Linked DNA regions of Arabidopsis thaliana. The protein of the gene in region 1 interacts with the protein of each later gene in a biochemical or structural test. Each region holds a gene or a part of one and is shown on either strand. Other genes may lie near its edges. The genes, in order: MPK1, NAP, MYB39 and AT2G42300.

Evidence for each region.
Region 2: of the proteins of MPK1 (region 1) and NAP, one has a biochemical effect on the other in vitro, tested with the Arabidopsis thaliana proteins (one large-scale study listed by BioGRID).
Region 3: of the proteins of MPK1 (region 1) and MYB39, one has a biochemical effect on the other in vitro, tested with the Arabidopsis thaliana proteins (one large-scale study listed by BioGRID).
Region 4: of the proteins of MPK1 (region 1) and AT2G42300, one has a biochemical effect on the other in vitro, tested with the Arabidopsis thaliana proteins (one large-scale study listed by BioGRID).

The regions. Positions count from the first base shown.
Region 1 is NC_003070.9:3,345,815-3,353,656, forward strand, and holds MPK1 (mitogen-activated protein kinase 1), read left to right. Parts: upstream 1-3,267; 5' UTR 3,268-3,504; exon of another isoform or gene 3,505-3,750; 5' UTR 3,751-3,764; coding exon 3,765-4,187; intron 4,188-4,272; coding exon 4,273-4,962; 3' UTR 4,963-5,366; downstream 5,367-7,842. Other genes in the region: WLIM1 (GATA type zinc finger transcription factor family protein), read right to left, coding at 863-1,069, 1,207-1,296, 1,384-1,427, 1,527-1,623, 1,815-1,949; AT1G10220 (ZCF37), read left to right, coding at 6,345-7,001.
Region 2 is NC_003070.9:26,118,675-26,125,705, forward strand, and holds NAP (NAC-like, activated by AP3/PI), read left to right. Parts: upstream 1-3,405; 5' UTR 3,406-3,558; coding exon 3,559-3,724; intron 3,725-3,821; coding exon 3,822-4,102; intron 4,103-4,188; coding exon 4,189-4,548; 3' UTR 4,549-4,840; downstream 4,841-7,031. Other genes in the region: AT1G69485 (Ribosomal L32p protein family), read right to left, coding at 253-326, 639-668; CYP704B1 (cytochrome P450, family 704, subfamily B, polypeptide 1), read left to right, coding at 5,286-5,561, 5,633-5,848, 5,920-6,234, 6,318-6,704, 6,784-6,984. UniProt on the Arabidopsis thaliana protein: Transcription activator that binds to, and transactivates the promoter of the abscisic aldehyde oxidase AAO3.
Region 3 is NC_003075.7:9,880,993-9,888,358, forward strand, and holds MYB39 (myb domain protein 39), read right to left. Parts: upstream 2,441-7,366; 5' UTR 2,377-2,440; coding exon 2,111-2,376; intron 1,776-2,110; coding exon 996-1,775; coding exon of another isoform or gene 992-995; exon of another isoform or gene 912-991; coding exon 875-911; 3' UTR 607-874; downstream 1-606. Other genes in the region: AT4G17780 (F-box and associated interaction domains-containing protein), read right to left, coding at 1-463.
Region 4 is NC_003071.7:17,617,697-17,627,386, forward strand, and holds AT2G42300 (basic helix-loop-helix (bHLH) DNA-binding superfamily protein), read left to right. Parts: upstream 1-3,198; 5' UTR 3,199-3,845; coding exon 3,846-4,334; intron 4,335-4,417; coding exon 4,418-4,531; intron 4,532-4,612; coding exon 4,613-4,678; coding exon of another isoform or gene 4,679-4,690; exon of another isoform or gene 4,691-5,744; coding exon 5,745-5,813; intron 5,814-5,937; coding exon 5,938-6,009; coding exon of another isoform or gene 6,010-6,024; exon of another isoform or gene 6,025-6,765; coding exon 6,766-6,939; 3' UTR 6,940-7,156; downstream 7,157-9,690. Other genes in the region: AT2G42290 (Leucine-rich repeat protein kinase family protein), read right to left, coding at 474-1,776; AT2G42310 (ESSS subunit of NADH:ubiquinone oxidoreductase (complex I) protein), read left to right, coding at 7,555-7,899.

The DNA.
Region 1 (7,842 bases):
TTATGAATTAACACATAATACCATTGATTTAAATCATTTTGGTAGATTTACAATAGGGCTAATAAGTATGTCTACTTTCTACTTGTAATTAATTTCATATCATTGTATTATATCTATAGTAGCCATTATTTTCCCGATTTTTCCTTGAAGACAATAACATTAAAACAAAAAATCCATGAATCAATATGTTTTGTTTTTACAAATTCAAGTTCACGAAGTACTTTGCAAAATTTTTGTTAGCCTTCTCCGATTGAGTTTCGGCAAAGGGTTGTTTTCTGTGTTAGTGCGCCTCTTGTGTAGGGGTTTTCGTCGATTGGTCTCCTCCGAGTTGGGACTCATGGGTTTGGTCGTTGGGCCTATTAATGTTATGGGTTGTCTCTCTTGTTTCGGTTTGTTACCCTTATTTGTTTGTTTTATTTTATGTTTTTAATCTATGTTAACATTTGTAAGGAATTAGCCCAATATGTTTACATCTCCATCCTCTATCTTCACGCGACTTCATCATCCTCTCTGCCAAGAGTAACAAATTATCAATAACCTGAATCAACGATGGTAGCAATTGAATCGATCATTTAGCTGAAGCTTAAACTTCACGAAAATTAATTTATATCATATGAACGTAATACATATATATCTCATAAGCAAACATCCATTATTTCTTTGTTTCTCTAGTTTCATTTCAAGAAACCCAATAAAAGAGTGAACAAAGGTCCCAAAAAAAAAAAAACATATTAAAGACCAAAAAGAAAAACACAAACGTAGGAAGAAACAAAACCAATATATGTTATCGATCGATGGAGAAGTAGTGACTCTTTTGATTCTTCGATAGTCAAAATCATCCCAGAGAGATTGAATTGTTTCTTTAAGCAGCGACGACTTTGTCCTTGGCGGCATTCTCTCCTCCTCCTTCGAGCTGGCTCAAGTTTCCTTTCTCCTTGATCAGCTGAATATGATGATGCTTGCAATATAGCTTACCCTCGTGAGCTATGTAATTCGAAGGGCTTATCGTGCAGCCTCCATGTGTACACTTGAAGCAGCTCTTGTGGTACAATGTTCCATTCACCGATACCTACACAAAGTCCACATTATAAGCAATGTTTCAGCTCTGGTTTAAGCCAAGAACAGATCAGATTCGTTATGGAAACAATCTAACAATCTTCTTTGACACAACTTGATTCTGATCAGGAAAGATTTGAGATTGGATACCTTCTCAATTGGATACACGGTTTTGTCGCAACCAACGCATTTCTCTCGTGTTCCACCAAACATATTCGAAACTTTGGTTCCAGCAGGTCTCTGTTAAACTTCTCTCATGTTAAATGTTAAAAAAATTCAAGAACCTCAAAAACAGAAAAAGGGTTTTGTTCTGCTGTCCGAAAGTACCTCTCCCTCCAAAGGCCTATCAGGTTTCCCAATCTTTGGTGTCCCTGTACATATATATGAATCAAACTTTAGATAGATAATTCCAAATTTGAAATCCCCACTCACAAAGCTTTTCACATTTTGATCTGTTTTTGGTAATTTACCTTCGAAGCTTTTCTCAAGACTTCCAGTTCTCTTGAAGTTTTGATCGAAATGTGGTCTGCAGTAGAGAACTCCTTCAAAGGAGTTGTAATTGCTAAGCTGACTCATCAAGAAGAAGAAGAAGAAGAAGAAGAAACAGAACAGTCAAATCTTTAGACCAATCAGTTTCCATAGCCAAAAATTCAAAGATTTCTACTTAATTGATTGGACTTCTTCATCTACATATATATCTACTAGATCTACTTCTGGATTAATGAGAAATCATCACAAACTAGAATCAAAGATCAAACCTTGAGAGTTCCTTTGCAATGGTGACATCGGAAACAAGCTTTGTGGTAGACCCGGTTATCGGCGGTTAACTTGTCGACAAGATAAACTGTTTTGTCACATGCCATGCATTTCTGGGTTGTTCCTGCGAACGCCATTCTTGTAAGAGATCAGACTAAAAGACTCAGGAAAAAAGAAAGAAGCTCAATAGTCTTGAGAGAGAGAGAGAGATAAAGAAGAATAAGATGAAGATGAAAGAAAGAGATTGTCAATTATTGTTGCTTGTTTTAATATGGGGACCAGATATATTGAAAAATGAACATGCTTCTTCTTTTTAAATATTTAAAGTAAAATTCTTTTAGGAAAAATTGAAATTTTTAATAAAATGTCACAAACAAAAAAGTTCAAGATGAGTATCGAATTTTGGATGCAAATTCGAATATTTGGTGTTTCTGACAACCCTAGCATTGTTTTTCGTGGTTGTCTAATCCACAAAACAAGATAAGCGATGAATAAATAAATAATTTGAACGTTAGCAACAAAACTAAAAACTGTACTACAAAAAGAAAAGGTTTCAACGGCATTTTTTGTGTTCTTAATTATTTTTGTCCAAACTTGAAGTAACCCGTCAATATCTGTCTCCTAGATATTTTGCTTATATTTTTTTTACATTAATTCAGTTCTTTTATATCTAGAGTCAGGTAATTATTTAGAGAATGCATGCAGTTGCTTGACAGTGCGTAAGATTTACACAAATTTTTCTCAACAGTGAAGGCAATGCTCAATAGTCAATAACTGTTTGTAAGGAAATAGAACAGGGAAAACCAACTGGAAAGAATCTTTGTCTGGTTTTAGATAATGATTAAAAGCTGTATTGGTTATGTTGAATTAGTTGGAAATCTCTAAATATCTATACACTATTTATTTTCTTTAATACTATATGTTGTGTAGTGTGTATATGAATAATGAAAATATCTGAAACATGCTTTACCATAAAGGCTTTTGATGAGCTGTAGTATTGACATAATTGGTTGAAGAGAATGAGTGATCATAATGATACCTAACATCTTTTATTTAATCAAAAATACCTAACGTTATTTTTATTTGCTACTATAATAGACTCCAACCAATTTATTAGTATCATTTTATACAGTTTCTAACATTTTTGCCACTGCTTAGATTTATGGGCTTTCCCTTTCTGTCTGCATGGGCCTCCTCTCTTATATTAATAATCTGACTTAATGAAAACTTTTAAATCTTTTGTAGTTTATTTTCCTCTAGATGCTAATTTTAGCAAAATGAAAAGATGTGTGATGGAAACGTAAAGTTAAAGCAAAAGAAGATGGTGAATTGGTGATGCAATATTTTAGTCATGTGTCATTGTTTACATTTATGATATATTTTACTTTAAAATACTTTTCTTCATTTTCAATTTTTATAAATCTTCGTAGAACACATATTCACAAATGATGCTACTTTGGTGATCAGTTACTAAAAAATACCGAAATTGATTTTAGAAGATAGAGACGTGAATCTGTTTGCCAATATTAATTGGGCTCAACTTAAGCCCAAATTATATAAGGAAAGACTACCTAGTAACGAACAAGTAGCAGGTCAACTGTCCGAGCGTTGGCCAAATCTCTCTCACTTCCACAGGTTTCTCTCTCCGGCCAAATCTAACCTCCGGGGAACGTCGTTGGTCACTTATCACCGGTTAGAATTTCCTTCCCGCTTTATCCCGTAAACTTTTTTCCCATTGATTCCGATCGTTTATGTTCCTTCACCAAATCGATAAAGTTTGATCTTTTTCCTTTTCACTATTATTAACAGACCAATCTGTTTACACAAGAAATCTACAGTAACTTATCACTTGAAAAGTTTTGATAAATAGTTAGTATAATAATTTGTTAATTGTGTGTGTAAATTTGATTTCTTGATTGTGTGTGAATTGTGATGAAGAGGGAAAACAAAAAATGGCGACTTTGGTTGATCCTCCTAATGGGATAAGGAATGAAGGGAAGCATTACTTCTCAATGTGGCAAACTCTGTTCGAGATCGACACTAAGTACATGCCTATCAAGCCTATTGGTCGTGGAGCTTACGGTGTTGTCTGCTCCTCTGTTAACAGTGACACCAACGAGAAAGTTGCTATCAAGAAGATTCACAATGTTTATGAGAATAGGATCGATGCGTTGAGGACTCTTCGGGAGCTCAAGCTTCTACGCCATCTTCGACATGAGAATGTCATTGCTTTGAAAGATGTCATGATGCCAATTCATAAGATGAGCTTCAAGGATGTTTATCTTGTTTATGAGCTCATGGACACTGATCTCCACCAGATTATCAAGTCTTCTCAAGTTCTTAGTAACGATCATTGCCAATACTTCTTGTTCCAGGTGTGTGGTTGATCCCGTTCATTTACTGTTGGTTCTAGCTTTGCTTTCTCCTGAAATTTTGCTTTGCTTTGTTCTTTTTGTGTAGTTGCTTCGAGGGCTCAAGTATATTCATTCAGCCAATATCCTGCACCGAGATTTGAAACCTGGTAACCTTCTTGTCAACGCAAACTGCGATTTAAAGATATGCGATTTTGGACTAGCGCGTGCGAGCAACACCAAGGGTCAGTTCATGACTGAATATGTTGTGACTCGTTGGTACCGAGCCCCAGAGCTTCTCCTCTGTTGTGACAACTATGGAACATCCATTGATGTTTGGTCTGTTGGTTGCATTTTCGCCGAGCTTCTTGGTAGGAAACCGATATTCCAAGGAACGGAATGTCTTAACCAGCTGAAGCTCATTGTCAACATTCTCGGAAGCCAAAGAGAAGAAGATCTTGAGTTCATAGATAACCCGAAAGCTAAAAGATACATTAGATCACTTCCGTACTCACCTGGGATGTCTTTATCCAGACTTTACCCGGGCGCTCATGTTTTGGCCATCGACCTTCTGCAGAAAATGCTTGTTTTTGATCCGTCAAAGAGGATTAGTGTCTCTGAAGCACTCCAGCATCCATACATGGCGCCTCTATATGACCCGAATGCAAACCCTCCTGCTCAAGTTCCTATCGATCTCGATGTAGATGAGGATTTGAGAGAGGAGATGATAAGAGAAATGATGTGGAATGAGATGCTTCACTACCATCCACAAGCTTCAACCTTAAACACTGAGCTCTGAGCTCAAGTCTTGTTTGTACGGGTAATTTACAGAAAACTTCTTCTTCTTATGTCTGATTGTCATCATAGACTCATAGTGTATATAGTCTTGAAAAATAAGATGAAGACTAACTTATAGTTTAAGCGAATAGTGATGCCATGGAAGCTCTGTTTTATTTAATTACAAGCTTGATGTGTGTCTGTAACATATGTACATAGAGAGAGCTGTTTTTTTTTTTTAATTACAAGTTTGATGTGTGTCTGTAACATATGTACATAGAAAGAGCTGTGTTTTTTTTTTAATTACAAGCTTGATGTGTGTCTGTAACATATGTTCATAGAGAGAGCTGTGTTTCTGTTTCTCTGTTTGTTTGTTGCGTTCTTGCAGAACTTTTAACCCTCTCATGCAATCCAAGCCTTTTGATGAATCAAGTTTTCATATAGTTGTTCTCATATAGCTTAAATCTAAGAATATCAACAATTAAGCATTTTGTTATATGAATATTTGATGATCACACCATGATCATAGGCCTTCGGATTCATAGAAGGGGTAGGCCTTTGCACCGAACCTAACTTTCCAAATCGTAACAAAAACAATGTATTGTTTTTCTTTCAATTTCTTAATGAAGTTCTATAAGATAATTTTGGTGAGTAGTATCAGTACCCTCCTCATTCATTTATCACATGATATGCTTCATTTTTTTGTCAACACATGATATGTTGCTTCTATTGGTTAAAAAGCCTTAAAGGCTAAAAGCTTTTTCTTCTACACCAACTTTCCTTCTCATAATTCATTTTTCTTTTCATAGTATATAAATAACTTGGAGGATTTTCCAATTTTTGTAAACCCATCAGAAATTTAAATTAACAATGAATATTCCAACTATATGTTTATGGTTGAATCACTTTTGTCTTTCTTTCTCCCCAAGTCAAAACTAAGTTAAATTAACAATTAGTCAATTACTTATGATAAACCAAAAAAATATGATTACACCATCATGGAAATTTTTTTGCAGCTTCTTCCGCAAGAAAGTCAATTTGTAAGATCAGCAAAATACATCTGGGATGACGTTTCATTTGGTAGAAACTTATCTTCTATTCGTCCTAAAAGAGAACAAAAAAAGTGTCAACAATACGTGATCTGATCAATTCATCACATTTAATGAGATCTGGTCAAATCACCAATCCATTTGTGTATCTGAAATATTTACAATTAGTTTAAGACAAGTCTCATTATGATAACAATAAAGCCGTCTCTCTTGTCCAAATACTAAATCCTGCCTAACAACTCCTCCGTAACCAAATTCCTTCAAGCTCTCAAATTCTCACAACCTCTCCACACAAAGGACCAGTAACAGAAAAAAAAAAAAGAGGATATTGTTGATTGGACTGAATTGATTTGATATGTTGAGTCCGTTTTCGTCACCTAGGAGATCGAGAAGAGGAAACAAAGAAAGCAAGAATCCTTATTCAAATCAAGGACTTGACAAGTTCTCTGCACTTCTATCTGAGCTCGATGAGAAAAGACAGAGCATTTACGCAAAGAGGCTTGATCCTGATGGACCGCCTCTTGTTCGGTTTGTCTTCACTAGCTCCGGCGAGTGCGTCCCTGTAATGATCAAGACAAAGAGGGCAAGTCAGAAGAAGGATGTTCTAGATGATTTCAAGGTCAAGAAGAAGGACGTTCTAGATGATTTCAAGGTCAAGAATAAGGATGTTCTAGATGATTTCAATGTAAAGACCGAATCAAAAACAGAGCAGGAAAAAGAAATAAAGCAAACAGATTTGGAAACAGAGCAGAAACAGAGCTGTGTATTGAATGAGAATCTGAAGAAGATTTCAAGACCAAACCATTTATTACCCGTGACAGTGGTGCTGGTTCTAATATTATTGGTGTTTTTCGGACGGACCGTCTCGATCATGTGCACTTGTATCGTTTGGTACTTGGTTCCAATGATCAAGGAACAGAGCAGAAACAGAGGATCAACATACGAGACGAAGAGGAGGAAGAAACTAAATATTGAAAACAGAGCTGCTCCTGATAAAAGTGAAACCCGGTGACGAAAATCAAAACTTTTTCTTTTTTTGTGAATTTCTTTTATTCGTTTCATCTAACATTTTCCTTGGTTTCTTTTGTTCTGTCTTCTCTGTTTTGTCCATAGTTGTTAATTTTGAGACAGAAAGATACGTAAATTCTTCTTCTTTGTTTCTCCTTTCTCTAATGCTAGTGAAATGTAAACTATTCAAACTGATTATTTTTGTTGGTCGTGGTAAAGTGTTTCTTGATTCATTTGTGTACAACTTTCGTCTAATTGATGATCTGTAAATGAAATTTTTTTAGTTTGGAGTTTTGATTTCTTGTTGTTTGGACAACCTGTACTATTTCTTTGTTTATTATACATGCTCACGTTTGGTTTTCTTTTAAGGAAATAGCACGATAAGGCTGGAGGATATATTATATGATTTAGATTGAAATTGAAATTAAAAATAGTATTCAAGATTTTGGAAATCGATGATTCACCAACTCAGGTCAATCATTCGGTTTAGTGTGGAGTTTGGAACTAGTGTGGCTAGGCCGGTTTGAGATAAACTTACCAAAGCCAATTGGGATGGTTTTGGTATAGTCAGAATAGATAATGATATTAAATTTTGGTCCGCGGATTTGATTTTGTTTCGGTACCGTCGTTCTTTTGGTATTCTCGCTCTTCGCCATTATTGATAAATTGAATTGAACCGTTCAAACCCGGTTTACTGGCTAAAACGGTTCTTTCTTTCAATTCAAACGGTTCTTTCTTTCAATTCAACTATACAAGTAACACTGCCACGTCAACTCGAAAAAATGGGACTATGGATTGTAGTTTACACAAAGACCAATTTCAGTTTTATTTGCTTGTAATGAGAC
Region 2 (7,031 bases), about 23 Mb from region 1:
AATGGAAAAATGATGATAACAAGTTGTTTCAAGGAGCAGTCTCAGTTTTTGACAGAGCAACAAATACAAAAGCTCTTCCATTAAAGTCTGTTCATGTTGGTAACTCACAGTTTCTACCGATAATGGTAGAAAGAAACAGAACATTGAATTGGAAAGACTTGTTTGACTCTCAAAGCAGATCGAATGCAAAACTTAACCAATGAAACAAAATTAAGAACCATCAAAACGTAACAGAAAATGATCTGCAAATACCTGCAACGGATGATCACAGGAGTAGGTTTAAAGGCCTTTGGTCCATTTCTTATCCCTCTCTTGTGTTTAGAAATCTGTATGATTCACGAAATAAAAGCTACTGTTAACCAAATCATTCTTAAAAACAATGATTTTGGGCCTAAGCAAAGCAAAACAGATTACATTTAAACAGATCTTTGATTCTTGTCTATTGAAGTCAAGATCTTCCAATCATGATCTCAAGATCGAATCTTTACCACAAAATAGTAAACCTCCCTAAAACCCTAGAGGGTAAAAAAAATCAGCTAAAAGAGCAAATTCCAAACGCAGCAACACTTTCAAACCCTAAAACTCTCAAATTTCATATTTGCAGTGGTATAATGGAAAAGCTGAAATATAATTATTACCTTCTTCTTGGGCACAGCCATTAGCTCCATGGATCCACCGAAAGAGAAACTCAGGAAACCGAATCTGAAGTTATTTTCATCAATGATAGAATCCGATTGTTAATTATAAAACTCCGGTAAAACAAGCGGCGGCGAAGCGGTAGAGCGATCGATGGCGCTGTCTAAGGGAGGAGAAATCGCAGCGACGTAACTGAAGCATCGGGATTCTAATATACGCCGGAAATCAGCAGCGGCGCGTTTTAGCGTCGTCAGTCTCAACGCCATTGGTTCAAATTCTCCGGTGGCTTTGCGGAGGGTGATACTTGCACTGTTGCACAGTTACGCTTAACAAGACGGTGTCGTTTCATCGTAACCGGCAATAACTAAAATAAAAATAAAAACCTGACACGGACCGGCTGGTCAGACCGGTTGAACCGCGAACTCTGGTCCAGCTTTTATATATGTACAGTTCAACGTCCGGTCCGGTTTATAAAATCATGATCATAAACGTATTGTGGAAGGATCGTAAATAATCTAAAGTTTGTGCCTCCATGAGAACATACCTTAGAATCTAATCTGCCTCAGCTTCATTGTTACGTTTTGATTAACCAAAATTTAGCAATTAGATTCCATCTTTTATCGTTTATACTCTTTATCTATCTTTTTTCTAACCTCAAAAAAATCCTTATTTTAGTGACAGTGCTGCTATCAGTTAGCAAATCAGACTGTTAACTTTTAGCCTATATGTGTGATGTATCTAAGACTAGGAGTTACTTTTTTATTTCAAGTTGGTAGAAACGAATTTAGTAAAGCATGTGTTTGGAATTGGAGTCGATCAAATATAAACAAATCGTTTCTCCCTAAACAAAGATGCTAGATTGCTAGAGATTAAGATGACGATTTGATTAATCATCGTCACTCATATTTAATTGGTTTCCTTAACTAAATTTATCTAAACAAAGATGCTAGAGCTTTTGTTTGCGTCATCTCATCCTAATCCTCATATCTTTTAATCCTATCCTTTTTGTCCCATGCCCTATATAGTAAGTATATAAAATTGGCTTGGTGATGTATATGAACATATGATGAATCATGTGCCATTTGAAATATAGTATAATACATGTACACTTGTGTAAAATAGCTTTTGGGGTCTTTTAATTTGTTAGAATAGCATTTTTAGATTGTCCATTAACAAGGTAGTTTCTTGAAAAATTTTAAAAGATATTCATGCGCCACTTAATTATAACGGTTTAATGAACAATTATTTGTGGCAATAGCGAAACAAAATCATGAAATTAACAAGAATAAACAGCTAATCATGAACTTGTTTTTTCTCCTCTTTCCCACTTTGTGCTGGAACGTTCCTTCGCATCTTGTAGTAATCTCACAAAACCCATTTTCAAGAAACTTGTGTCCAGTCTGAATTGAGCGTGTGGAGTTTTTTGGACAAATGTAGTAAACAAAGATTTAATCACCCAATTAGGGAATAATAATGACACCATTAGATAAGAACATGCGTAATTAGTGACATCTAATTATTGTTTAATCAGAAATCCGCCGTGGCGCGTGGGTGTATGCCCTCCACAATCCTTATCCCTAATGACTTTTTATGTGAAAATGACACGTCATTCAGAAGCAAAAAAATTGGACCCCCCAAGCCTTGTAGCATGCCACGTTTCTTCCAAAATTAAGACCAAGAATGGTCTTCACACTAGTTTTTATGTTATACAAGTTCTTTAGTACTTCTCCTTTGGATTCTTTTTAATTACTAGTTTGTTTTATGAAAAACGTATGTTATTGATTATTGAGATATCAGTATTATTATATATGCAGTATAAAGTTATTGATGTGTATATTTTGTCATGCAAACTATATCGTGGAGAAAATAATGTTGCTTATGACTTTTGATAGTTGGGCTTACATTTGGATAATGGATAGGGTAGACAAAGATAGGAGGAAAGCAATAATAGCGAAATGAAGAACGAATATTTGGGGAAATAGGACAAATGAATATACTTCTCTTTGAAATGGAGATTCACCTAAATTATTAATACTAAAGCCATGCAATGCATCCAAACAAATCAGTGGTCAAGCACACTCAATTATATGTCCACGAAGACCTTTAGAATCTTCACAACCAAAAGCTATTTTCTACGCTACCTGATAATTCTGACTCAATTCTTCTTCATAAAACGTATAATGAAGCTTTATGAATGATTAATTATAGACACAACCGGCCCTATCTGCGATTTCTACAAACAATAGAACACAAAACTTTAAAAGTTACTACAAAATACCGAATTGACTATATATATCATATTATCAGTATAAACATGATTAGATTGATCATGTTTATCAGTAATCATGAAAGACAAAGAGTGTGACTATTGTAAACCAAATTTTAGAATAAAATAAATAATTTATCATACTATATACAGTATTTTGTTAAGTATATGTCATCCAATAGTAACATTATCATTTAAACTGAAAAATGTTTCAGCTACTTTAAGGAATTATAGCTTTATTAAAAGTATATACTTTTAGGTCACGTGTTTAGAGGTGAAGAACAATAATAATTACTCAATAAGTTCACCAGTCACACTCCAACATCTTATTCAAATTCCTTTTAAAAGCTTTTTAACCGTGGCTGTTTGATGACCATTTGACAAAATTTAGTATATTAGAAAAAAACAATAGGATAGGGATAATATAGGACATTAGACTATTAGATGGACAAAATGAAGTATTATTTAATTTTCCAATGTACCAACCAATAAGAAAGAAGTGACGCACAGTAAACGACAAAAAGCTCAAGCATAAAAACCCAAACCTTCTCTGCTTTCTAAACATTTCAAGAACCTTGAGAACATCAAAAACTAACACAGAAAGAAAAAAAACAGTTCCTGTTCTATTAGATTGTTTTCTAAATTGTCTGAAAATCATGGAAGTAACTTCCCAATCTACCCTCCCTCCAGGGTTCAGATTTCATCCTACCGACGAAGAACTCATCGTTTACTATCTTCGAAACCAGACCATGTCTAAACCATGCCCTGTCTCCATCATCCCAGAAGTTGATATCTACAAATTCGACCCATGGCAATTACCCGGTTAGACCCGGTTTATCTCTCAATGATAACCTATTCTTCTAGATGTTCATGTTTAGAGCTACTTTCCTTATTTGCTTTGTTCGTTTTGTATTTACAGAGAAAACAGAGTTTGGAGAAAATGAGTGGTATTTCTTCAGCCCTAGAGAAAGAAAATATCCAAACGGAGTCAGACCAAACCGGGCAGCTGTTTCCGGTTATTGGAAAGCAACCGGTACAGACAAAGCCATTCACAGCGGTTCAAGTAACGTAGGTGTCAAGAAAGCTCTAGTCTTCTACAAAGGTAGACCTCCTAAAGGAATCAAAACTGACTGGATCATGCATGAGTATCGTCTCCATGATTCACGTAAAGCATCAACGAAACGTAACGGTTCCATGAGGGTACGTAAGCAGAGGAAACAAGTTTATAGCTCTTGTATATTTTATTACAACTTGTGAAAATGTTAATTTTCTTTATATTTTTGCAGTTAGATGAATGGGTACTGTGTAGGATATACAAGAAGAGAGGAGCAAGTAAGCTTCTGAATGAGCAAGAGGGTTTCATGGACGAAGTACTAATGGAGGATGAGACAAAAGTTGTAGTTAACGAAGCAGAGAGAAGAACTGAAGAAGAGATAATGATGATGACGTCGATGAAACTTCCAAGGACGTGTTCGCTGGCTCATTTGTTGGAAATGGATTACATGGGACCCGTCTCTCACATTGATAATTTTAGTCAGTTCGATCATCTTCATCAACCTGATTCGGAGTCTAGTTGGTTCGGGGACCTTCAGTTTAACCAAGACGAGATCTTAAACCATCATCGTCAAGCGATGTTTAAGTTTTAGTGATGGGGTCAGTAAAAAAGAAGAAGAAACAAGAAAAGATGTGCTTGAAAAGTTACTTTGGTAGATATTTGGTTAGTTTGGGTACATGAATGAAAATTGTAAAATATTATAACTAAAACCCAATGGGATTTTATATTTCTCCCATATGAATGTGAAATGAAAAACAATGTTTAATTAAAAATTAAGTTGTTTCAGCATGATAAGACGAAGTCACGAAGTTGATTTACATTACGAACTAATAAAACAAAAGACTTTTGTAACTTACGATGTTTTTAAAATGATAAAAAGAGAGATTGAGATTACGTTAACTTGGAATGAACAAGTCGATGACGTGTGGAGGAATCAACGCCAGATACAATGCATTTTGGGTACTTATCTTTGTCGTTTTATTAGATAACGAATGTTACTTGTCGTCATCATCGTACATTAAACCACATTTTGATTCAGTCTGCGCAGACTCAAACATTAGTGGATGTAACTTATCATAAATATGTGGACCCTTTTTGCTAATTTCAATTTTGACCGGTTTTGGTGTACCAAACACGGTTTAACAAAACCACGAAACCAAACTTGTTTAAGAAAGAATACACACCAAAGAAATGTTGCAAAGAAGGCATAATAAAAAAGAGTGTTAGTTGATTAGTAGATTGGTCACAAACTTTGTCTGATTGCTAAACAATATAAAAACTCTTATGAATTTATTTAGAACTTATTTTTCAGATTCAAAGAGGTAAAAAATGTCGTTGTGTTTGGTTATAGCTTGTATGGTAACATCATGGATCTTCTTACACCGATGGGGACAAAGAAACAAGAGTGGTCCAAAGACTTGGCCTTTGGTTGGAGCAGCGATCGAACAGTTAACTAATTTTGATCGAATGCATGATTGGCTCGTTGAGTATCTTTATAACTCAAGAACAGTAGTGGTTCCAATGCCATTCACTACTTATACATACATAGCTGATCCCATCAACGTTGAATATGTCCTGAAAACAAACTTCTCCAATTACCCCAAGGTGAAAAAAGCTCTTTATATCAATATCATGTATATGTTTTGTTGTGACTTTGATTTTTTGTTGTATATCAGGGAGAGACTTATCATTCTTATATGGAAGTATTGTTGGGAGATGGGATTTTCAATTCTGATGGAGAGCTTTGGAGGAAACAGAGAAAAACCGCGAGTTTCGAATTTGCTTCCAAGAATCTTAGAGATTTTAGTACTGTAGTGTTTAAAGAGTATAGTCTTAAACTCTTCACTATCCTTTCCCAAGCATCTTTCAAAGAGCAACAAGTAGATATGCAGGTAAGAATCTATTAATCACTAAAGTCTACAAACTTAGTTTCTCTTACATAACATCCTTTTTTTGGCTCTAGGAATTGTTGATGAGAATGACTTTGGATTCAATATGTAAAGTGGGATTTGGTGTGGAGATAGGGACATTGGCTCCAGAGTTACCAGAGAATCACTTTGCTAAGGCTTTTGATACCGCAAATATAATCGTAACACTTCGTTTCATAGATCCTCTTTGGAAGATGAAAAAGTTCCTTAACATAGGCTCTGAGGCATTGCTTGGTAAAAGCATAAAAGTAGTCAATGATTTCACCTATTCAGTCATAAGAAGAAGGAAAGCAGAGTTATTAGAGGCACAAATATCTCCTACCAACAACAACAACAACAACAACAACAAGGTGATAAACTTGTTATACAACTCAAAAATGTAAATATATGCACTTGTCACATTAGTAACATTTTTATTCTCATATGTAACTAGGTGAAGCACGATATACTCTCGAGGTTTATCGAGATCAGTGACGATCCAGATAGCAAAGAAACAGAGAAAAGCCTAAGAGATATTGTCCTCAACTTTGTAATAGCTGGAAGAGATACAACAGCAACAACTCTCACTTGGGCTATATACATGATAATGATGAATGAAAATGTTGCTGAGAAACTATACTCAGAGCTACAAGAACTCGAAAAAGAAAGCGCGGAAGCGACTAATACATCGTTGCATCAATACGATACAGAGGATTTCAATTCCTTCAACGAGAAGGTAACAGAATTCGCAGGACTATTGAACTACGATTCCTTAGGAAAACTTCACTACTTACATGCTGTGATCACAGAAACACTTCGTCTCTACCCTGCCGTTCCTCAGGTAAGTAAAAATCCATTAAATTTGTGAATTGAGATATCGAAACGAAGAAAAGAAAAAATCGTATATTCGATATTCGTAGGATCCGAAAGGAGTATTAGAAGATGATATGTTACCAAATGGGACAAAAGTAAAAGCTGGAGGGATGGTCACATATGTACCTTACTCAATGGGTCGTATGGAATACAATTGGGGATCAGATGCAGCATTGTTTAAACCCGAAAGATGGCTTAAAGATGGAGTCTTTCAAAATGCATCACCATTCAAGTTCACAGCTTTTCAGGTAACTATAATCAAACACATACAAGATTTTTGTTTTTGAACATGAAA
Region 3 (7,366 bases), on another chromosome or scaffold:
TATCTTTACCAAATCCCATTGCCCAATGTCTTGGAGAGAAAGCCGAACCTACTCCAAATATGGTTCCAAATCCGAATCCGTATCGCCGGAGTTGCCTTGTCCAGGGGTTCAAAACGTCTATCCAACGTGGTTCGAGAATGCAGACCAAACCGTCGCAAGTAAACGAGGGTTGTGCGGCGTTGCAGTGCAGATAGACGATCTCTTCGTTCCCTTTGCACTGCGACGACCCGGGGAGGAGCCTAGGCTCCCAGCCGCATTTGCAGTTGTAAGCAGCCAGGATTTTGCGCTTCTTTTGAAGACTCATTCGTCTCTCCACGAACGTCTTCGACTCAAGAATTGATCTCCATCGTTTTGAGACGCTTTTCGATATGAGAATGGATTTCAAGGGAAGTCGAAGGAATATATCTTCTAGAAGATCGGCAACTATGTAGATCGAACTAGGGTTTTTCTCTTCTTCCTCCATTCTTGGTGACTGTTTGTTTTTTGATTTTTTGTCAATCTTTCTGTTAGAAACATCGAGAGATTGACATTTTAATATATTTCCTTATTGGCAAATAGGTGAATTTTTATTAAACTTGTGAATCAAGTTATGTTTCCATAGAGTTGTTTGATTGTATAAATTAGACTGCTCGTAGATATTTATCCAAAATATTGTTATTAAATGGGCAATAATAGAATGGTGATTACAATGTGTTTCTTTACACAACAACCAAACCAAATAAGAACAAATTACAAATAAGAATTCCTTTACAAGAAAATATACAAACTTTAAATCAATATTTAATAACAAACAAAATTAAGAGTATTAATCGAATATCTTTGTGTATGTATTGTCTTTAAAACTATGAGTATACGACCCGAACAAAATCCAGTTCTACCATGGGACAGGTGACGATGTGGGTGACGTTAAGCTGCAGATTAGATAAAACAATTCTGTTAATAAACCATAAATATAAATCATATACTATGTTAATCAATGCGGAGATAGATCTTACTCTAAGAAACTTTTCCAGCAAGAATCACTTGTTTCATCATCAAGAAACTTCTCCCAGTCCTCTAGGAAATCTGAACCGGATGAGTGTTGAGCTGTACTGGGATGGTTCAAACTGGTTGTCTCGGGAGAGACCGATACCGAACCAGTAGATGGGGTTTCTAGTAGTTGATCACCATAGTAACACGGCATCATACCGGTTCTGATATGATCATTTACCTTGGTGGTCGTACTGGTACCCGGTTTTGCTGTATTTAAACTCTCTTGAGAAACCGTAACCAAACCAGGAAGCTGGTTATCTTCAAAACCATCCCAAACATTTTCATAAGATGGAATGAAATCCGAGGCGGCCTCAGGAGTGATTCCACTTTGGTTTATGAAAAGACCAGCCGGGGGATCCGGTTTAGGATTCACTGAATTGGTATTGAAGCTATTGACTACCGGTTCTGGTTTAGGATTCAGTAAATTGGTCTTGAAGCTACTGATGTTTGGTATGGCTTTGGGGGTTATGATTTGAAGCATTTTATGGATCAATTGGAGTTTAAGAATATCTTCCAAAGCGGTGTTATTGTTGAGGAGGTTATTGTTACCAAATTGGCCATTGTTGATTGCTGCCGCGAGCATTTGAGAAACATCGAGGATAGGGCTAAGATCGTTGGTTCTTGGCTCGTGCGTCACTGGATCAATCCCCATTTGCAATAACTTCTTCCTCATATGAGTGTTCCAATAGTTTTTAATTTCATTATCTGTTCTTCCTGGAAGATGACCCGCAATTTTCGACCATCTGTATGGTAAAAATTCGACTCAAACGTTAGTAAAATGAACCAACGAAAACTTAACCTTTTGTATGGTTAGAGAATTATAAACTAAAGTTTAGACTATAGTCTTGAGGATGTGAATTCTATAATAGCAATAATAAACTATGCAATGGTATCCATACGTAAATTTGTTTTTGCACTTTATATTAATTTTAAAAGAACTGAAAATGGTTTATATTTTAAAATTATGAAAAAAACATGTAAACAGGAACACATAATTACGTCTGAAACAAGCGAGACCTAAATCATTTAGTGCTAACAAAATAGCATAAAAGCTTTAACGAAAAAAAAATAGTCTTACTTGTTGCCAAGGAGGGCATGGAGTCTAACGATAGTACTCTCTTCTCCATCGGAAAATTTGCCTCTCCGGATATCAGGCCGGAGATAATTCATCCACCGGAGCCGACAGCTCTTGCCACAGCGGTTAAGTCCAGCGAGCTTAGGAAGCGACCGCCAATTCCCATAACCATTCTCGTTTATATAAGCAGTGAGCTTATCATCTTCTTCTGGCAGCCACGGTCCTTTCTTCACGCCTTTGTCTTGATCGCAACACGGTGATCTTCCCATTTTGTTTATATCAAGAACCAAAACTTATCAGAGGTTTTTGAAGATATGATCTTCGTTTCGTCGCTCCCTACGATTAGGTTTGTATGTATATATAGATGTGAAAAGCAGTCATGACATAACTAAAGTAAAGTTGTGTATGCATTCGTCAGAATTTGGTGTAAATATTATTTTTCATAGTGTGTCATAAGTCTACAATATATGAGTCATTCAATAAATCAGTTAAATAACCAAAATAGTTATAACAAAATCAAGATTAGGTACTGATAATATGATATGTGTCATGGCGTTCGAACTTCGAAGAGTAATTCGTGGGGATGATGTTCAAACAAATAATTTTTATATAAAAGAATACGAATAATTGTTAATGCATTAATGGATTTTGTTATTGTGGGTTAGATGTATAAAATATTTGCCCTAGCTATGTTAGAATAAAATGTTGATATTTCCCTACTAAAATCTTTTTTTTTTGGGACCAAATTTCTTACGCTCTTTTACTTGTAAAACAATCACAAATTATATACTATTTCATAATCTGCAATTCAAACTAATCTTATTGAAATTATGTTATAAAAGAAAGCCACATTTTTCAAAAATTAAACATGCATGTGATCATTTTTGAATATTTCCTATATATGTGTATATTTCTCTATTTAGATTAAAACCTACAAATAAGAATTTCGCATAAATGCATGATTATAAATTAAACTTGTTAACTACTTTTCTTGAAGGGTATATTTAACTAATATTTAATTGAAAAGCAATATTATGTTCTCATTGCAAAGTTCATCAAAATTGGAATCTTGCATTTATCATTATGTGATTGCTTCCACCGCATTCAAAGAATTATCTCTACCTGCTTCAATGTCTCATGGTTGATCAAAGCCTACCCTTTCGCTTCTTCTTCCTCTATTTGAATTCAAACGAAGATTATTATTATTCTCCTTATTGTTACCAAACCGTCGTTTGTGCCTACCATACGTTCTGAATTTCAAGTCACAAAAAATTACCTATGCTATTATCATTTGTTTTTTGTTTAATTGTTTTGTAATTTTTTGTTACGTGAAAATATAAATTTTTTACGTGAAACTCTCTTTAGTATAGGTTATCTCAATTTCTGTTTTATATTATTCGAAAATATACATATGGATTTGGATGATCAAGTTAATACGAGATTTTCGAATTGATTTACTTTGATAAAGGAAATGGATAGCTTTTTTCGATTGACTAATTTAATTAAAGAACTTCTCTCGCGGGTTCCAAACATTAAGTCGATAGCGTGAGGAACACATAAACGAGTAAGTGGATTTTATTAGAAGGTGTAACTATAAAGTTGGTATTATATATTACGTTGTATTATACTATTGGATCTTTGAAAAAATCTTTCATAATAGAATCTTGTTGTCTTCAAAGGAATGAGAAGGATCACGACAAATTAGAAAAAAAACATAAAACGAAATTTCCTACGGTTGGAGAAAATGTTTACTAGTATAATTTAAATAATGAGGTTTAATTTCACTCTCACGGAAGATCTTGTTTACATACTTAATTACTATTTTTTTACCGTTAAATTACTGTTATGGTTTAAAGGGTCAATGTTCAGGCTTGTTTCACATTGTCAAATTAAAACCAAACACTTACCAACTCTCTATTTATCACGTTGACTATTTAAACAGTCGTATATATTAAGGGTTCCATGTAATTAGTAGCACCATATAGTATAAAATTCCTATGCTATATTTATTTGACATTGTCAACGAGTATAGATAAGACAAGCCTTAAAATTCTATGTAATGTTATTGTTACGCGGCTTACGCAACAGATACATAGTCGTCAATTTGTAATTCAATGGCTGCTTCACTCTTTCGGTCTCTGTAGCTAAAATTGACTTCCGAATTCAAATGAGTTCATAACATTGTATAAACTTTCAGTCTAGATCGGTTATCTTTTTTCTTGTTTGGATTTTTGTTCCTACTCTTGAACATCTTTGGAAACCGATCGATCTTTGAATTATAAACTTGCACCATATAGAAAACAGTGAAGGTCGCTTGAGGCACCAAGAGTATCTTCCAAGTTCCAACGACCATCCAACGTATGTTAAAGTCATAAAAGCTGGAAACTGGTTTCAATTAGAGAACAACTGTTAGCGTACGTACGTTGGATGGATGTGCTTTAGCAAAAAAAAATAACAACTGCATGGATCGGATGTGATCTCTAAAACACATAATCAGAACATGCATACTGAGTTAGTTGGCATAATGATGTCTTCGTACTATATTAGAAGTAACGCTTAACTCGTCCCATCACCAGTGTTTTTGTGTGGATAACGATGAAAATCGTGAACTCTTCTCTCGTTTGGTGATAACAATATTCTCTAGCTTGACTCAGAATGCGGATTTGCTGTAGATCTTTCCGTGACCCTAAATCCAAATCTTATATCTTTATGGGTCGATTTCTAATAGACCAAATTTATCTTTCACAGTATATCAAATTCAAATTATGAATTGGGATCGTTCAATAGGTTATAAGACAAAGATTGCTTCTTTGCTATTGAGCTAAATTTTGAGTTGGAAAGAGACTTTTGATTTCACTTAATACCAAAAGAAATCAAATTAGTAGGTGTCAAATGCCAAAAAAAAAAAAGAAAAAAAAAAATATATGTAACAGTATTTATGATGTTATGGTCAATAAAGTAAAGAGAGATGAGTTTGGGATAAATTTTCTCCTGCTCCTATCTCCCTTTCTTGACAAGGAAGTATATAATTCGGTAGATGGAAAATCTTGGAAAAAACAGTTAACGTGTAAAATTATATGAACAACGACCAAAGGTTTGTCTATACGCAATATAGAATACAAACACAAGAGTTTTGAAACAAATAAACATAATTGCATATAAAATATCCATTTGCAAAAGTTTCTAAAGAGTTGTCCTATACTAATGCGAAACATCCGTGATCGTGTCTCTTGGAGACGCATATGTTTGGTTATTTCCAGCAAAACAAACATTAATTGTCATATCATAAGTTGTCGTTACATAATGAATCCATATATATTTTATTTCTAGAACACTAAAGTCATTATTTCTAGAACACTAAAGTCAAAAATATTTTTGGCTAAGAAATAGTCAAAACTCCTACACATATCATCCGATTTATTTAAAAAATCTTCAAGTATAATTTGTGGATTAAGCCGTCTACTAAAGCTCATTAATGATTTCCATTTAATAAATGCTCTGTTGTGATTTGCGAAATAAAACAATCTGTTTGAGCTTAAGAGAAAAATAGTATGAAAATTTGTTTATACACAATGGATCTATATGTTAAAACAAAGAAGCTATCGTAGTTAGATATTCACTTCAATTAGTTTATTTAAACCAAATTTAGATTTCTTTTCCCTCAAAAAGTAATATATTAATCGATCAAATCATCACATAAGAGTTGATTTAGCCATCCAGGCGGTGTTACGGAATCACAATTAAAAAAAAAAACAGAGTGGTTACAACCATGCTTAGCAAGATGATGAACTATATTATTACGTACATGAGCGTTTTGTGAATTGAAAAGTGTCAATGTAAACTTTGAACGTCAATGATAGATATCATGTAAGAGATTGGAAATGTGGGATGAAGTTATAGGACCCTTGAATATGTTAATTAATATCGCCTTTAAACACAACCGTGGTATAACCTCTTATCCAAACTTTTTGCATAGCCGCTAGGAGCGCTTTTTCTTAACGAAAGAGCTAATTGTTTCTCCATCAAAGTGTCCCAGTCTTAATACTCTTTATCTATCGTCCATCTCTTTTATCGCCGCTCAAAATCTTCTGTAGACTTTTTCTCTAATCGTTTCCACATCTTTGAGGAAAAAGAAAAAATCGTTCCCACATCTGAAAATCAATGTTACCACATGTCATGTTGGTACTTTTATGAGAAACTCAAGTTTCCACAAGAAAACCTTTTAAGTTTTTAATTTAGGTCAATCAAATGTTGAATATGTTTGGAACGTAGTTAGATCAAACTGCATGATATTTTTCTTTATAGTCCTTTTGTCTCACAAACACAACACAACCTTTTATTAAACGAAACCCTTATGGTTTCGCTTTAATGTATTCAAAGAGAGTTTTTTCATAAACTGACTTTGACTGAAGAACTAATTCAATACAGATAATTGAGAGTTAAAACTAGATTAGGTGATACGTAAGAATTTTATTCTATTTTATTTATCAAAGGCCTTTTGATTTTTTTTGGGTAGACTGTGTGGAGTTGTAATACTATAAATATGGTTCGGACGGTAGTACTATACATAGTTGATGATAGAAAATGTTTAAATATGTTATTCCAAACGGTCAGATATGTATATACTTCGTTTGTAATAAATTCCAACCAAAATTTTAAAAATACTTAATGTTTAAATATTCCTAAAAAAACTCATTTCAAAGAAATTTTGGTTCGTCTAAAACTAGCTTGGTTCAGTCAGTTTGTACATAAATGAAACTGAACTGGTTGCAAGAAACACTATATTTCGATTTTTGATTCGGTCCGGTTCAATCATCTCTTTGGTGTTTGGAGGATGAAAAACAACAAAGCGATGCTGGTTTTGTCGAAAATTGAACCAGAACTTTTGTTGGTCAGAGAAAAAGCCTCTTTAATTATAGAAAGCAAAAGGGAAAGTCGAAAGAGCCCACGACCCAATGAAAAGATAAAGCTGTGAATATGCACTATTGGAACCATTTCTATGAACTGCAATATCAAACGGTGACAAACAACAAAAAAACATCAAACATTATGTAGTACGTGAATATTTCTATTTGGCTATTTCTAACAAAAATGGTTCCGGATATAAATAAAATCGCATATGAACTTTAATATCGAATGTTTGGAATTCAATGCAAAGATCCATCGAGGCTATCTAGAGTCAATATATTAGACTAAGATGAAAATGTATGTGGTGATGATGATGATGATTCATTGCCATGGCCATGAATCTTTTCTTGT
Region 4 (9,690 bases), on another chromosome or scaffold:
TCAGGAAAATGGAAAAATCTCAACGAGTACTAACTTCCCAAGGCAGATCAAGCAGAGGTTAACTATGAAAAACACACATCTATCGGATCATAAACTAATCTCTGTCTAAGAACCAAAAAGAAATATTCTTTCTGTCACATTAAACACTCTCTAGACTACCATTAACTCATTCTCGACTTAAGTTTTCCCATGAAAATAACAGGACCACATACTATAATGCTACACAGAAGCAAATCTGTATGCTTGTCATCGAGTTCTACTGTTTCAAGTTTCAACACATGTAAACACAGTAAAGCTTTGAACAATAAAACAATGAGAAGAAGCGAACATGTTAGTCAATACAACACAATCAGACAAAGACAAAAAAAAAGCTCTCCACTTTATAGTCAGAGCAAGTACACATAAAAACCTTATAACTAGTGGTAGATTTATGCAGAATTAGCACCAAAATAGGAAAAAGATTAGTGTTTTACCATGTAAGGCAGAGTACAAGCTGCCATTGTTAATGAAATCAGTGATGAGAAGCTTCTCGTCCTCTGCATAGTAGTAAGCTCTTAGCCGTACAATGTTAGGATGATTGATCCTACCAATGCTCTCAACTTCATTCACAAAATCCTTAAATCGCCACGTGTCATTGCCGTCGCTGAGCCTTCTAACGGCGACAACGGTGGAGGACGATTCCGCCGCCACTACTCTATACACAATCCCGCTTCTGCTCTTGCCTATCACGTAAGCCGATGCTCTCAGCAAATCCTCAAGCTCAAGCTCGAATCCTTCATCAAACGCTACGAATTTACCTTCTTGCCCTTCTTCGTCGAACTCTGAAACCACCGTCGTCGTCTTTGTCTCCGAATTGTACCCATCGGAGCTTCGTTTTCTCCGGATCAGCCATACAGAGAGAGAAACAGCTCCGATTACAACCGAAACTCCAGAAATCAGAGAAACGGTTACTGAACCGGTGATCTGCTGCTTCTTCTCCTTTGCGTCGTCATTGCTGATTACACTAGGGTTTGGTTTCTGGAGTTCTTGAGTACCTTCCGGCTTTGCAGCGACGAAATTTGGGGTTTTGATTTTTTCACACGGCGTTTGCAATGGGAAGCCACAGAGATGAGAGTTTCCAGCGAATGCGTTTGGTCCTTGATTCAACAGAGATCCCACCTGAGGTACTTTTCCGGTGAGATTGTTGTGACTAAAATCTAAGCTGACGTGAACTCGAAATCGACCGTACGACGGTGGAATCTCGCCGGTGAATTGGTTGAAAGAGAAATTCAAGGTTCCGACGAGGCTTCCGAGTTCAGTGAGTGACTCAGGGAGTGAACCGTTGAGATGATTGGAGGAGAAATCAAGGTGGTTGAGTGACTTCATGGACTTGATTTGGGCCGGTATTGGGCCGGAGAGTGAGTTGTGAGAGAGATCGATGTACCGGAGCTTGGTTGCTTCGAAGAGACGAACCGGTATGGTTTTAGAGAAATTGTTGTGAGCTAGATCAAGCCGGTTTAGCGAGTTGAGTAAACCGAGTTCTGATGGAATGTAACCGGAGAGACTTTTTCCGAAGAGTACAAGAGTTGTGACTCGGCCGTTTGTGCAGACGATTCCGGACCAATGGCAAGGAGTCGGGTCGGATTCAGACCAGTGGGTCATTACTCGGGTCGGGTCGTTATCGACGGCGGATTTGAGAGCTAGGAGAGATAAACCGTCGGAATTGAGAGAGGAGCAAAAGCTCATGCAGAGAAAGATGGAAGAAACAACAAGTGAAAGAATCGATGGTAACTTCATTTTTTGCTTAGGATATAGGAATCTTGAAACTTTTTGGTTGTTAAAGAAGCTACAAATTACAGATGATTCATATAGTGTGAGGCAACGAGAAGTTGCAGAGGAAAAACGGTAAACAGTGAAGACGAAGGAGAAGAATAATGGGAGATTTGACCGAGGTATGATTCTTTTATGGTTTCATGTTAGCAACGTGGTGTAATGTAGTCATGATCAATTTTTTGAATTCTTGTCCATATACTATGGTTTGAAATTTTAATAATATATACACTACAGTTCTAATTAAAAATGTGATATATTGGGATTTGCGTTTTGGGTTTTTGACATTTTGTGGTTATTTTTGAAACTTTTTGAAGTTTAGTTATTGATTGATGCAGGTGGGTTGTTGTTACATTTTTAATTTGTGTGTATCCGTTGGTGATATCTAGGGTCACTGGATTTTTATAGCATTAAAACTATATATAGGTATCAAAAAAAAAAGTTACAACAAATTTGGGATACAAAAAATAAACAAAGTGTTATCTTAAATGCTATAGTCTATAGAATCTTAACTCGTATAGGACCTCTTCACTCTTGAGCCATGAAAAAACTGTACAGTCCCACTGGGTCGATAATTGTTTTACTTTTACAAGATTCAGCAGTAACTAAAAAAAGGATTAAAATATGTTTAAGAATAATTGAAAATAATCGAACTCGACCTATTGCATATGAATTTGAATTGGATAGAGGATGTCATATTTATTCAAATTAAAGGAGGGAAGAGACGGTAGAGAGTGGATTGTGTCAGAGAAAAATCATTAACCAACCGACAAAGTAACCACACAAAGATGCATTTGAAAATATGCCACTTTTGGCTCCTCTACTCCTAGTCTTAATGGGCAATTCCGAAATATACACGAAGAGTCACAAGTCCCATTGTTGTTGGGTTAGCACTTTGTCACGGCCCAAATTCAACTTATTCACAACATCAAATAAATATATGCATCATATCATCACATCCGACTTTTGTTAACAATTACTTTTTTCAGTTAAAGAACTTTCAAGAGGAAATAGTAGTACCTTAAAATCCTACAAAACCTTGTCGTGCAAGAACTGGGAGGGCTACAAATTGCGGTCAATGTACGCAAACATCTTACCGTTTTTGGTACAAACACTAGAACTCCAATGCAGTGAGTGAGATGGGCCAATTTTGGCAATCTCAATCAACGGTCCATGTGGCCCAATAAATCACTAAAAACGGCCGAATTTTTAGATCCATGTAACTTAAATAATTGGTGGGGACGGAAAGTCTTGTCGTTTTCATTTATTCGAGTGTGGCACTCTGATTCATCTCAAGCTTATTTTTTATAAAAAGAGTAATTTTAGAGGCTGAACAATAACGACCTTGAACAAAATAAAATAAAATAAGAGGGTGAACAACGACCAGTCAAAATTTGAAAATTTACTCACCAGAGTCTATAAAAATTAAAAAGGAAAGGAAAAAAAAAGAATGAATCATAGTGAAATGACCTTATTTATGGCTCCAACTATAGTGATTAGTAACCACTAAACCAGAAAAAAACAAGTGACCCATTACACAGGGATTAAAAATACTACCGAATAAAGCCCAATAGGCCCAATTCAAAAGCGTCTCTCTATCATCGTCTCTCCAAACCCCATAAATTGGATATTTCCTTTCTCTAAAAATTTGGCTTTATTAACAGACGCACTCCAAAGCTAACGTTGCTTTCTTCCCACTCCAAATGGCTCTTGTGCTCTCAGAACACACACAGATATAATAAACTCTTAACGAAGAAGAAGACTTTTTCTTTTCTTGAGCAAGCTCTGAGAAACTCACAGAGAGGGACAGAGAGAGAAATATTTCATTCGCTACTCTCTTTAATACCGCCATTGATGCAACCTCCTTCGCGTTAACTGTCAAAATACTCCCCAACTGACAAAAATTAAATTCCTTTTTTTCTCTCTCGATTTTAAAAGCTCTAAAAGGAACGAGTTGATCAAGTCGGTCGGTTCTGGTTATCACTGAATTTCATTCAACTCGGTTTATTCCGGTTTAAGTGTGATTTTCCCGGCTAATGGATCTGACCCAAGGTTTCAGAGCTAGATCCGGCGTTGTTGGGCCGGTGGCCGGACTAGAATCTCTCAATTTCAGCGACGAATTTCGGCACTTAGTGACGACGATGCCTCCGGAGACTACTGGCGGCTCCTTCACGGCTTTACTCGAGATGCCTGTGACTCAGGCCATGGAGCTTCTCCATTTCCCAGATTCATCGTCTTCTCAGGCCAGAACCGTTACCAGTGGTGATATTTCTCCTACCACTCTTCACCCTTTCGGGGCTTTGACTTTTCCTTCTAACTCGCTTCTCTTGGACCGCGCCGCTCGTTTCTCGGTGATTGCTACAGAGCAAAACGGTAATTTTTCCGGCGAGACTGCTAACTCTTTACCTTCTAATCCCGGCGCGAATCTGGACAGAGTCAAAGCCGAGCCTGCTGAGACCGATTCAATGGTGGAGAATCAGAACCAGAGCTACTCTTCTGGAAAAAGGAAAGAACGCGAGAAGAAGGTGATACCAATTGTTCACACAATCAAACTTGTTAATTAAACAAGAGAGATTAGTCCCTAATTTCTTTATTCCTTAATTTCTAGGTCAAAAGCTCGACGAAGAAGAACAAGAGCTCCGTGGAGTCAGACAAGTTGCCATATGTTCATGTCAGAGCTCGTCGTGGTCAAGCTACTGATAACCATAGCTTAGCAGAGAGAGTAATTCACAATCTCACAGACATGGTTTGTATTAATTAATTAGTGGCAATATGCTAATTAATCATTAACTCTTGATTATAGGCAAGAAGGGAGAAGATAAACGCACGAATGAAGCTGCTACAGGAACTGGTCCCAGGCTGTGATAAGGTTTGTCTTTAGATAATTGACCTTTTAATCAAAAAGCTAATCAATAATTAGATCTTCATTTGTGCTTAAAGACAGAATCTTTCTTTATTAAGACCAACCCCCAAAAAGTGATTTTTTTTCTATAATTTGATCATGTGGTTTGATAAGGGTTTAGTGCTAAATTCCTCTTATATGAAAAAGGTTTTGTGGTGTGACAAAGAACAAAACCACTAGTTTGGTAATTTCACTGCCTTGAAGATATGTAAACTTTATTTTCGTGTGGGGAAGAATATCTCACGGGTCACAACCATTTAGGTAAACTAGTAGTAGTAATACGGAAGTGATGTGACATTGCTCAATAGATTCTTGTTTCTTCTTCCCAAAGTGTATTCATTTGAGCTTGAAGCTTACTCCATAAATGCCGATAATGGATTATATGATGTGGGAATGCTAGCTGGACTGTTCCCTTAAGGTTTTGGGTAGAGGGGACAGATTTTGGTGGATAGATCAAGGTCAGACTGTGTTTTGGGGTCCATCTTTTGATAATAAGTGGCAAAAGTTGCAGGCTTTCTATGGAGGGTGAGGAGTGTAGTATCGTCTCTAATAAGTTTGGTATCTATCAAGTAGAAAGAGGGTGAGGAGTGTAGTATCGTCACTAATATTGTTATATGCTTTGAGTCCCACAATACCTAATTGGTTGGATACATGATGTGACACTCCTGCAGACAGCTAACTAATCCATAGATATCTTGGAATTTAGCTGCAATTATTGGTGGAAGGAGATGATGATAAGTGACAACTCTTTAAGAGTTTGTCAAATTTGTGGGGTTTTGGGACTTGATTGTTTGTTTCATGAAATCCTGAGAAATCCTGAATCCATGTTTGTAAACTACAGATGTTGCTCTGATTCGCTTTTCTGGCATATTATCTTGAAAAGAGTAGAGTTGTTGATTTTATAGAAGCCGTTATACATATGCAACTTAGGATTAAGGCTCATTTTCACACTGCTTCGTTAACCACATATATTTCTAAAAACTATGCCTTGTTCTTCTTTCTTTCTGACTGACCAGAAAGCTTTGGCCTGCAGATTCAGGGCACTGCATTGGTTCTGGATGAAATCATTAACCATGTGCAAACTTTACAGCGTCAAGTGGAGGTAGGACTTCTTGCACTATCTTTTGTTGTTGTTTACCTGAAGGTCCTGAACTGAAACACTAAGCTACACAATGTATGATAAAATTGGTGCCACAGTGTCACATAACCGTTTTTCTTCTTTTCAGATGCTATCTATGAGACTTGCTGCAGTAAACCCCAGAATCGACTTCAATCTAGACAGCATACTGGCTTCAGAGGTAAGTATCAACTAATCATATAGGAGAATTAAGGTTGCATGTGATCTTCTTTTACAATAAAAACTCTTAAATTCAATGTTCACTGGGAAAAACTTCCCTTTGACCATGTTACTCGTTTAAGTAACCATAGGGATTATGTTTCTTTGAGTAACCTTTTTAAGTTGTATCACAAAAAGAGAAACTTTTGGATATTTATTGATCCAACATTAATCGACCCTATTCTAGACTAGGCTTAAAGAAGAAGAACAACGTGGGGGAAATAAATACTTAGACCTTACAAAAATGCAGTACAAACAGTGAGATCAAGGACTCTAAAAAATCTTTTGAAAGGACTCATTAGTTCTCTCAATTATATCATACAGAGAGATAAAAGTGGTCAGAAACACGGACCACCTTTGTTCTATGGTCTATGATGCTGTCTTTTTTTTTTATCCTTGCACAATTATTTTTCTGTGGGTCTCAGTCTTAAGTTATTGTTGCTTCAAGTTTCACCTATCTAATCTAATAATCAACTTTTGTTTCTCTGCAAATAACTTTCTTATTAAATGACCTTCTTCTTTTACAGCTTGTACACCATTTAAGAACCAGACCCCACTCATTAAAAACCTTGTTCTTCTAGGATGAGTTACAGTAAAATAGAGCTGGCTTGTTGACTAGATTGAGAATCTAGGATGTTGGATCAATCATCTCTAAGAGAAGCTGATATGTTTTACAAATTGTGTTAATAATGATGAGGTCCAATTATCTTTTCTGCAGAACGGCTCTCTTATGGATGGTAGCTTCAATGCAGAGTCTTATCATCAGCTGCAACAATGGCCTTTCGACGGCTACCACCAGCCGGAATGGGGAAGAGAAGAAGATCATCATCAAGCCAATTTCTCAATGGGTTCAGCTACTTTACACCCAAATCAGGTGAAAATGGAGCTCTAAGTTGGAAACAGTTTGACATGCTTATGTGTATATATAAGAGTTATATATATCTACTAAAGTTTCGATTGTTGAATTAGAGGTAGAAAATGGTTATGATTGTTTCAGGTCTTTGTTCATGGCCTTTCTATATTTACTAGATTCCTCAATGTAGAATTCAGAATGTCTAAATTGCGTTTCCCTTGAGAGAAGTATATGAAGATTTGATATGTTACTGAGCAATTACGACGTCGTACACGAATACTATCATCCAATACTGCTTAACCGACTAGTGTGACCAATTCAATTTGGTCTACCTAAATTATAACCAAACTGCCAGAACCGATTTGGACTACAAAATTTCCAGTCAAACCGTAAAACAAAATGAGAACTGAGAATACCAAGTCATACCGAACATAAAAGAGAGTCAATTTCGTATATAAATCTGTTAGACCGGATAATCTAAGCTGAAACCATTATATAATTCCCAATTAAACTGACAATTTCAATAAACCAAAATTGAAATTCTCGGTTCGGTTCGAATGAAACCTTTTGTAGGTCGTGGTCGTATATAGTTGGACACTTGACAAATCTGAGCATTTCCTTTTTGCTTACAGCGGAAATATCTGAACCAACGCGATGCCGTCGACGCAGTCCTTGACCGTCGCAGCGAAGACGCTACGAAATCGGATCTTCTCTAGGTCTGGATCTACATCCGCCGGTCCGAGTCGGTGGGCGACGCCAGGTCACGAGGAGCGACCTAAGGGTTACTTTATGAACCGTACTCCTCCGGCACCAGGACAGTCGCGAAAATGGGAAGATTGGGAGCTTCCTTGTTACATCACCAGCTTCCTTACAATTGTTATCCTCGGCGTTGGACTCAATGCCAAACCTGATCTTTCAATCGAGACTTGGGCTCATCAGAAAGCTTTAGAGCGTCTTGAGATGGAGAAGCTCGCGACCGCTGGAGATTCATCTGATTAAGCATCACCGTTGGATCTCCGGTTGCTTGATTTGGTATGTCCTTATTCTCCGGGAGTTGAGGAGTTTTTTTACCGTTTAATGATGATGATAACGAAGACTGGAGAGTTAGGGTTTCGTTTGGCCCTTGAACTTTGTTTCAATTCTCCTTTGTTTTGTCGATAATGATGATGTTCATGAAATAAGTGTTCTTTTAACTGTTTAGACGCAATTGCCTTCACTCTCTACTTCTTATTACAATTCTCAAATTTGGTCACTTTTGATTTACTCATTTCTCAAATGATTCAATTTCGACTATTGATTGCTGCATTACTAATTGGAGAAAGAGATTAAACGAGAGTTGTATGCTGATGTTGTGTGCTTCTCTTCCTTAGTTCATGGCTTGTTTATGTTCTCTGTGAATCTCAGGTTTGCTTGTTTCACTCAGTGCAGTGCATATTGATTAGATTAATAGCTACTTTATGTTAGTCGATTCTTATCTCTTTAGATCATCTTTTTTATACTTGTCATTTGTTGTAGTAGTAGTGATAAGCTGATAGTGTAGCTCTAACTAGGGCATGGATTGTTCCTTTGTGTTGTAGACATGTTCGTGATTATAGGTTATTGCAGCGTGCACAATAAGTTTTGTAGGCTTTCAAGTGGTTGGAATGGCATCAGCCATTGTTAGATGCAACACTCTAGATTTCAGTTTTGTCATTTGCTGTATTTTATTAGGCTAGCGTTTGGAGTTTTCATGGTGTCAGCTATTGGTAGATTTGACACACTAGATTTCAGTTTCTTTGACGGTGGTGTTTATTAGGTTTCTACTTAGCTGAGAATAGCAGATGAGAATGTTGATTTCGATCTTATACTTGGACAAGTCTGGAGTTGAAAGTAACTTCACTAGATTTGGGTAGATAATGTTTTAGAAATCATGACTGCTTACCTCTATCTCTATAGATTTTGGTCGATTAATACTATACTGCCTTTGAGTACTACTATTGCTCATAGTTTCCCAAATCCTTTGTTTAGTTTCCTAAAGTGTGGCTTCATATTCTTCTCTTTTAAGTACAAGTACTTTATGCTGGTGTTGGCTTTTTAGCAAGCTTGTGATCTTCATCTCATCCTCTGGTTTCATACATGATGATTAAACAAAAGAAGAGACTAGCGATTAAACAATAGAAGAGACTAGAGTAGTAGCTTAATTTGTTGTTTGCCTTAGTTGAGCAATCTCGTGTCATCAAATTGCATCACATAGAGAGGGATCTTGTGGTAATTACTTCTCTCTGTGTAGTTGTGTTTCCCGAGAGTACAATTCTGTAACACTGTCTGGAACCATTAGGCTAGGTCTAAGAAGAGACATTATCACGACACTCTTCACATGCTTTTTTTTTTTATCTCTGGAGACCCAAGAAGAGTCTAGTGTAAAGCCATGTGAAGACCATTTGTCATCTATCCATTTCCTCTGTACATCAATCAGATGTTTTCAGTTTAAGAAGGAAAAAAAAAAAAACTCGGTAGTCGTATGTAAATGTAAGTCGGTGTCGGTCGGTGGAGTTGAAGCCAAATAATCAATAATGTTTAGGACGAAAGTGAAAAGGTCAATAACGGTCAATTAAAAGTAAAGTTTATTTTTCTGGTAATGTGACCGGTTATTCCCGGTAAACACACGAGCCACCGACACATACTTCCATGGGTCACGACCACGATTGCAGTCCGTACACGATCCATGTTTTTATTTATTTAAACGCACCATAACTTCCCGCATTCGGATCTCCCATAGCAAAGACAGAGAGAGAAGTAAAGTAGCTTTAT